Linked DNA regions of Nothobranchius furzeri. The protein of the gene in region 1 purifies or fractionates together with the protein of each later gene. This does not show direct contact. Links are inferred from orthologs where the notes say so. Each region holds a gene or a part of one and is shown on either strand. Other genes may lie near its edges. The genes, in order: cdc6 and ccnf.

Region 1 (4,374 bases):
CTCGCTGTGCCGCTTCAACAGTGCGATACCCTCACGAGGGACGAGCAAAATTTTAAACACGCCAGAAGTCCGTGCGACCTCACGACTGCTGATCGGCAGCTGGTCACGTGGTGTTAATCGCCTCTCGTAACCCCCCGTACACGACCGCTCGGCGCTAAACTCGCCCCGATGTCGTGGATTCTCGCACGACTGGAAAATCGGCTCAAAAAAGTGAAAAAGTTGCATAGTGTACACCCGGCTTAATGGGGGTTTCACATCTGGTACCGATCGGCCCGGCCTGCATTGAACATATTGTTTTCATCCCTGGGTGATCTGGTACTTGCCCCCTCCTACCAGGCGGGTTTTTGGCCCTTAACCTCTGGTGGTCTGCTCAGGGCTGGGCCAGGCCAACATGCCCACTACGACTGACTGGCCGGCTCAAATACCAACCTGCCGTTAGAGGGAGCTTCTGATTGGTGGATAGAATCAACCAACAGTGTGAATAAACCCTACTGGTGTGGGACCGGACCGACGCTACCCAGCCCGGTCCGTGCTAGCCCAGATGCGAAACGCCTAATGGAGACAGTTTTTTTCCCAACAGTAGTTTCTTCATCTCTTTCCTTTGGGCAGCTGATGCAGACGATGGGAGTGTAGCATGAATACGCAGCTCAGAGTGACCAATCGTGAATCGAATAGAACCATTATTGCTGTTGGAGCTATATTTCTGCAGCTGTCACCTCGCTAGACTGTTCCATACATACTTTATTATTATAACTGGTTAATTATTCTACAGAATGAATAAAAAGGTGTTAGGCTCATGTGCTATGGTGGTGGAATTCTGTTAGGGTTAGGGTTACACGTGTCTAGTTTCTCTGGACATTTTCCTGTTAATATTCATGAGGTAACGCTCATCCTGGCTTCACTGATGCTGCTGATTCCAATCGTGTGATCTGACAGTCAGAGCAGATCAGAGCTCTTGTTGTCAGATTAATATCATCTTGGCTGATGAAACATTTCTAGTGAGTGCAAATGATCCTGTTCAGTCTCTGTTGTGTTCCAGCCACCTGGAGACAGTCAGGGACAGGGGACACCTCCGTGTGTGTGTGTGTGTGTGTGTGTGTGTGTGTGTGTGTGTGTGTGTGTGTGTGTGTGTGTGTGTGTGTGTGTGTGTGTGTGTGTGTGTGTGTGTGTGTGTGTGTGTGTGTGTGTGTGTGTGTAAACATGAATGTACACTGTTCTGTGTTCATGTAAACACACACTGATCTGCTATGAAACCGTCTCATCCAATCACCTCTCAGACGGATGAGCTAAGCTGGACTCACCTGTTCAGGTGGGACCTTCCTTGTTCTGCTCTTCCTACCCATTTCTCGATGGCTAAAACTCAAACAAAAGTATTTCCCGCCGTTACCAAACGCGCCCTTTGCGTAACTTCCGCCCGCAGCACCGAACCAATGAGGTTGCGAAAAGTGTTGCGTTGACCAATCCAAGAGCAGCAGCGGATGACGCAGCTGGTAAAGAAGACGTTTTGGCGCTAGTTTGGACTCGGTTACCGGTAGAGAAGCCCGTCCTCGAGAGGAGCTGACCGAGCGCAGGTGAGCGTTGATCCGGGTTGGTTCGGGTTAACCTGACCGGGTTACCAACCCCTCCTTTACTCTGAGAGTCCTGCAAGGCGAGCTAACGCTAAAGCTGCTAGGATGCCTAGCACCCGCTCCCAGGCTCGAGCTCAGCCCACGCTGACGTTCCCACGACGCAAGTCCTGCCGAGCGCCTTTAAAACCCCCCAAACCTCCAGGGTCTGCGTCCCAGGACGTCCTTCCGCCTCCAAGCCCACCCAGGCCCGTGTCTCCGAGGCAGTCTCCCGCCCTGCAGCCCCGACTCCCCCTGAGCCCGCGCAAACGCACAGGTGAGTCTGCAGCGCTGGTCAGGAGTTGTCTCCATGAAGGTGTTGACTTGTGTTTATCTCTGTAAAGGTGATGAGAACGGCTGCAACCTCCACACCCTGCAGGCGTCCCCTCCCAAACAGAAAAAGACGTCTCTGTCCTCCCAGAGGAAGCTAGGTTTCAATGAGAACTCTCCAGTCGTGGTCCATCAAACATCAGACCCATCTTCTGAAAAACCACGCTGTCCAACCACCACTTCGTCCACTAGGAGACCAGAAACGCCCACCGGAAGTCCCTTGCGTGGCACTGGAGGAAAGAAGACCCCAGTCACTCAGCTGTTTGCAGAAAGTAAGATGGTTTCAGCAAGTTACGAGTTTCTTAGGAACCAAAGTGCTACAATCATTGTTTTTCTCCTCAGAGTCCAAGTTCCAGAGCGTGAAGCAGGTGCTCCACACATCCATCCCTGAACACATCTTGTCCAGAGAGGCGGAGCAGACGTCCATCCGCTCCTTCCTGCAGGAGACGGTCCTGCAGCGCCGTCCTGGAAGCCTCTATATTTCAGGAGCTCCTGGGACTGGCAAGACGGCCTGCCTGAGCTGTGTCCTGAAGGACATGAAGGTGAGCTGGACATGCTTTAGCGCTGTCTGCAGTAGGGCTACTCCATCATGGCTTTATCAGGGCGATCAGAAGAAGATCAGAACAACTCCTGGTTCCTCGTGTAACAGAGCCAGTAGGCTGAGCTTTAACCCTAACCCAATTCTGATGGCAAGAGTCTAAACATGCATGTTGTAGTGAACTTCCATAACCTGCTGCGGTACTGAGTCCTGTCCAGCGGCGCTGTGGGAGAGTGCAGCACTAGTCTGTTGCTCTGAGATGAATCAGCGTTAGAAACGTATTCCTAAACCATTTATTTCCAGGTTCCATCAGTCCATGTAGTAGATGTCCCACCCTGCAGAGGTGCACTGCAGCACACACACTACAATCAGGAGTGTGTGTGTGTGTGTGTGTGTGTGTTGCACGGGCACATTTAGCCGTTTCACCAGGAGCCTGCGGGGACAGGAGTCTCTGAGAGCCGTCTCTACGTTGTTCCCTTTCCTAATGTCCAGAAGGACGGTCCTGAGTGCAGGCTGTGACCTGCAGGTATCCAGGAATGTTCCTAGGTGGTTTCTGGGTAGCTTAGAGAAGAAAGTGGAGGAATGGTCTGAAAGGTTGTTAGAAACGGCCACAAAGCTGCTAAAATTTGGCAACGCTGCTGGGAGGTGCGCTTGATTTGCAACTCGGAGTAAACCATGAGAGAGGAGCAAATCATCGGCTCGTTTTGTTGTTCCAATGGTTCAAAACTCTGATAGTAATTGTGATTAAAATGTGATTTATTGAGCAGCCCTGTCTACACAGATGTCGTCATCTCCTCACCTAGCTGTTGTTGTCCCATCAGGCTGAGCTGTCGTCGGTTCTGACGGTTCTGGTGAACTGTATGAGTCTGCGAAGCGCCCACTCCATCTTCCCTCTGCTGGCTGACAAACTGAAAGTGCTCAGCGGCCAGAGGGGTCTGCAGAAGTTCTTCACATCGTCGGGGCCTGCTGTGTGAGTGACCTTCATGCTGCCTGGTTTTCATGGACCTGACTTGCTCGTCTAGGAATGGGCAGTGTCAGACATTCTTCATAAATGTTCATATTATTTCAAACAAAATACTGAACGACCCGCAGAGACGGTGTTCTGAAACATAAGCTTGTGTGTTATGAGGGTTAGGGTTATGAGGGGTACAAGGACTCACGTCATCCATCTATCAGCAGTAACAGCTACACGTCACAAATGTCTTCAGGAACCTTTAGTTCTAATTCGTGTAAACTCGATGGTTCATGTTGTACAAGAATCAATACACTTTATGCATTTAATCTGCTGATGAATTTATGTACAATTTCTCAAGGCAGCTCTGGGAGTTGACTTGAATGAAAAGTATAGATGTAAGTTTTGGCCCATATGGCCCAGCCCTAGGCTCATGCGTGTGTCTTCTCTTCTAAGGCTTCTGGTTTTGGATGAAATGGACCAGCTGGACAGCAAGGCTCAGGACGTCCTCTACACCCTTTTTGAGTGGCCACACCTGCCCAGTTCTCGTCTCTGTCTCATTGGTAAGAGTTCGTCCCGCACGGTGTCTCGGCTGCTCTGTAGTAATGACGGTATTATTGGTTTACGGTAGAAAGTACACAAATGCAGTCACTGGTAGGGATTCTGACTACACAGGCAACGGCTGCTGGGGTGGTGCTTTAAGACAAGTTAACATTGGGTTAGGGCTGCTCAATGAATCGAATTTTAATCACGATTACGATCTGAGTTTTGAACGATTATAAAAACAAAACAAGCTGATTATTTGCTCCTCCCACCTACGCTGCTTGAGTTGCAAATGAAGCGCTCCTCCACAGTGTTGCCAACTTAGCGACTTTGTCGCTATTTCTAGCAGCTTCAGACCCCCTTCTTGACTTTTTAAATCTAAAAGTACCTAGCGAACATCTCAGAAA
Region 2 (4,345 bases), on another chromosome or scaffold:
GAGATCTGAAATCCAAATTATATCCATTTATAAATCATGCATTAGACTCCAAGTGGTTGATTTAGCAGCTGCTTTCTCAAAGGCAACACCAAACGCGTGTTCCACGAGGGACACGAAGGCAGAAAGAAAGAACGACGCTCACAGCTGCTTTGCGGCTGTTCTCCCACAGCAGATAAGAACTCAGCAGACAGCCGGCCTGAGACGACTCCTCCAGCAGAGATACAGCGTTGGAGCGTCGCCCCTCGTCCTGGGAAAGACAGATGGTTATAACCACAGAATGTTTTGCTCTTACATTTGTAAGAAAGCAGTGAAATAACAGTCTGATAGATATGATTTCAGCAAATTATGAAACCTCACAAGTCTAAAGCATCAATCAGCAAAACTCGTAAAAGCTTTGGGGGACTGATTAAGAGTAGGCCAATCGTAAAGAGGAACATGGCTGGGGACACGTCACGTGACAACACACGGATTTACATTTTTACTCAACGGTAATAGAAACCGAGCAAGCCACACCCAGAAAGTCAAATTCAGTCTCACTCACTTCAAAAAGAAGCAAAACTCTGGCCAAACAGTGCAACAAGGGTCCCTTCTTCTCCTGCAGGGAAAGAAAAAAAACAAGCGTTTCAGTTCCCAGTGCTCCTCTCATGGGTTATGCAGGGGGAAAGCAGAAGCTCATGTTCTGTTTGGAGCTTTAAACCTTCCTAGATCCATACGCGGCTCGAGCTCAATGCAACGGACAAACACAGCTTTATTCTGTGGCTTCTCATCACTGATCTGGCGGCAGCAGAACCTACCATGTTGCCATCGCACTCAGCCTTGAGGCGATCAAACACCACGGCCTTGCAGCAGCTGCCAGTGGGCGACCATGGTGGACGGATGAACACCCAAGTGAAGGGATCGGTTTTGGGGGAGCGGAGACTCTCAGCCAAACTGAAGAAGTGGGAGGCTTTTCGACCACACACATCTGCTCGCCCCTCATCGCTCAGCAACGCTGAAGGCAGGAAAGAAGGCCAGAGTGAAGGGTCGTAACCATTTATCAAGAGGGTTTGTGTCTCTGACATTAAAATGACACTGCTGTGGTGCTTTGAGCAGAAATTTACTACATTCTGAAAAGAATAAGAAGAAAAAAATAACTGTTTTAACTTACGTCCTTCATTGTACAAATAAGCAATTCCAAGTTTCACAGCAGCTTCAAAATTCCCCTTTTCAGCAGCTCTGAAGTGAGAATTTTATATTAATTTCAGTAAACAAAAGCAAGTATTTTGTTGTATTTGTCAGAAGGAACCGTACCTTTCAAACAGCCACAAGGTGTCGGGGGACGGCCACTTGTCTCTGAAACTGACCCTGGCCCACACACTCGAGTGGTTGTCAACAGTGTCCCGCAGCTGGGAGTGAACCTACAACAGAAACCTGGATAACTAATCCCTGAACAAGAAACACGACAGAAGAGGCTGTCAGACGTTTTGTGATGGGATTTACGTTCACTCACCGCTCTTACTGACAGCAGATCCTCAGCAGAGAGACACTGAAGCACACATAGAACGACTTCCTCAGGCAGGGAGAGCAAAGTTAAGTCTGGGGATCGTTGACGGACTCGCTTCCGTGTCGGAACAGAGTAGCATTTTGAACACCGGCAGTGGACGACTGGAAAATAGAGGAAAAAATACTCAAATCACAAAATTAACACACTTTTAGAGTCAAATACTTTTTAGGTGTGTACACAGGAAAATCAGTAAAGGTCTCGGTGCAAAGCTGGAGATGTAATTCTCACTGTAACGCAAAATGAACATTTGCATTTAATTAATTCTAACACACGAGTCAGGATGTTAGGCTTTCTTTGATTTATATGATTTGACACTTTCAGTTACTATTAATTTCCTGGGTTGTGAGTCTGCCACAAAGAAAATTAATGTAAAACTACATTTGTAAAATTTAAGTATAAAAACCCAAGTTTGTACAAAATACAGTTGAAACTAATATCATTTAGAATCTGAATTGAGCTTTAACTCAACCAACACCATAAATTATTGTTTCTTTTTTGCATGATAGGTATGAGCATAATTCGACATTTTAAAATAATATTTTAAGAAGTATTTATTTGCATAGTTTAGAGATAAATGATAATCTCGTAGTAGTTTTCCATCGTAGTTTTCCTACTTACTCCACAGTTTAATCATGCCTACTAAAATAACTCCACATGTTCCTCAACACGTTAAACCACATGTTGATCAAATGTAGACGAAGAAAAAGCCTAAATGAACACAAACAACCATATTTGAGCTGTTTGGGGAAATCGAACAGTGGTGAAATCTTAACAGATGATGTCAAACCAACTGAGCGCCCAAATTTCCCTCCTGTGGGTTCAATAAAGTACCGTTACGACCAGATCTCGTTCATCCACACCTAACTACATATCATCTGACACCAACCACGAATATTAGTGCTACAATTCCTAAATGAGCCGTGGGTGTGTTAGATGTATATTGAAGCTTTTGAGCTAAATGGTACACCAAGTTCCTGTTGGGATCCATCACTGCACTAGCTAACGCCTGAGCTGACAAGTACCTAGCAATCGGTTTGAGACCAAACACACACTCCTAAACACTCATTTCATACCAAATTATTCCCATTCGTCTATTCTGAGTGGGTAAAGCGGAAGAAAGTTACTTACCGCCCGCTTTCATTGCAAGTAGCTTTCCTTTTGCGCAGAAGCCTGTAGCAGCAACACGGAGGAGCCGTTTTAACGCAGTGTTAATGCAAGTTAAGGCAGGCAGGCTACACCGAGCACCGTTTGGAGTGAATTAGAGGCTAAACAGTGTTAAAGTTAATGTTGAGTTTGTGCGGCTGACTAATAACTCAACATCAAGTTGTCTGAATTCAAATTCATGCACGAGTCCGGACAAGGCTCCGCCTTAAACTATGTAGGACCGCCCGCGCGCACGGTTTAAACTCTACAAAGAAGTTGATTGGTAGAGAGCAACATCGTCAGCGCGTGACACTACAAGCTTATGATTGGACAATAGGAATAGAGGCAACACAGATTGGTCTGACACCTTGAACTATGAAATAACCGAAGCTCATTGGAGGATGTAATGCCATTTCGAAGTACGCGCTCGTCTGTGTGCTCTTACGATTGGTTGACTCGATTGCGTGTGTCCGCCTTGTTGAAAAGGCGTGTGGGAAATGTAGTTAAATGGAAAAGTGGCGTTTAAAGGTACATAATTTAAAGGGACATGCCCCCAATGATCCGTCCAAGGGGGAGTCAGGGTTGGAGAAAAGTGCAGTTACTTGACCCGGTGACACATTTACTTTGTTTCTTTTAAACATTCTAAAGCAAATGATTTTTTTTCTCTCTAAAAGATCAAAGGTTTACTCTGTGTCACTCAGAATGATTTATTTTTTATAATAACTGTAATAAAGTATCTCGGTGAGAATATTATCAGAGAGATGTCACCAATGCACAGCAGAATCCAGAAATTATGATAATGCCTTGTTCATGGGTCACACACTAAGACCAACATAAGATAGATGGGAAGCAATAAAGTAACAGGTTGGTTTGGGTTTGAGGAAGCTTCCTCTGAGGAAATCACATAATTAAGACCTTTTTGTTGCATCCCTATTGACAATAAATAGAGAGCTCTCTCAGCCAAATAGCATCCTCTTGATTGTTGGTCTTTTGAAAGGGGTCATAAAGAAGCAGACTACATCTGGGAGTATTCGTTTGTTCCTTTCAGGCTCTCTATTGATCTGTAACATGTTCATTTAGTCTCATCATCACGAAAAAGATCAGGAGCTTCACATTAATTTTAAAAAATAATTTTTTTTTACAACTTTAAAATGTTTTTCCCAGTAACGTCCCAAAGCACACAATAAACAATCAGCCACCTTTGTTTATCAAATTGAACTTACTCACATGACAGTGAATAAAGCAAATAAATTAAATGCCTTTTTATTTTCTCACTGGGGATTGCAAAGTCTTGCTCTGCTGAACAACGAAGGTCCAGAGCAATCACATTATCTTGTAGCTGACAGAGTGACCTCAGTCAGGGCAAGGGCTTTGACATCCTCAACTAGATGCACCGTTTCCATAGAAACTCCAACCCAGCTCAACTATTTTCCCAGTAAAAGCACAAAGTGAATAGCAAGGGACACGCCACTTAAAGGAGTCTCAAATAATAAAGAAATTACAACACACACTGTAGTGAAATCTTTTTCTCAAGGAGTATACATTAGTATAATTTCATCCAAAAATGTGCCATAACAGAAGTAAAATTGATCTGAGAACAAAAAAGGTTTGAATGTTAAGAGCTGAATTAATTAAGAAAATTAATCCATCCATCCATCC

The links.
Region 2: the proteins of cdc6 (region 1) and ccnf purify together in Homo sapiens (affinity purification with western blotting; 4 studies listed by BioGRID and IntAct, with this or other methods). This does not show direct contact. The link is inferred for Nothobranchius furzeri from reciprocal best matches to the Homo sapiens genes CDC6 and CCNF.

What each region holds. Positions count from the first base shown.
Region 1 is NC_091747.1:65,969,011-65,973,384, reverse strand, and holds the start of cdc6 (cell division control protein 6 homolog), read left to right. Parts: upstream 1-1,522; 5' UTR 1,523-1,673; coding exon 1,674-1,881; intron 1,882-1,948; coding exon 1,949-2,206; intron 2,207-2,276; coding exon 2,277-2,476; intron 2,477-3,293; coding exon 3,294-3,442; intron 3,443-3,880; coding exon 3,881-3,987; intron 3,988-4,374. UniProt on the Homo sapiens protein: Involved in the initiation of DNA replication. Also participates in checkpoint controls that ensure DNA replication is completed before mitosis is initiated.
Region 2 is NC_091752.1:57,969,899-57,974,243, reverse strand, and holds the start of ccnf (cyclin-F), read right to left. Parts: upstream 2,917-4,345; 5' UTR 2,685-2,916; coding exon 2,672-2,684; intron 1,645-2,671; coding exon 1,490-1,644; intron 1,398-1,489; coding exon 1,291-1,397; intron 1,216-1,290; coding exon 1,148-1,215; intron 992-1,147; coding exon 795-991; intron 596-794; coding exon 542-595; intron 248-541; coding exon 143-247; intron 6-142; coding exon 1-5. UniProt on the Homo sapiens protein: Substrate recognition component of a SCF (SKP1-CUL1-F-box protein) E3 ubiquitin-protein ligase complex which mediates the ubiquitination and subsequent proteasomal degradation of target proteins.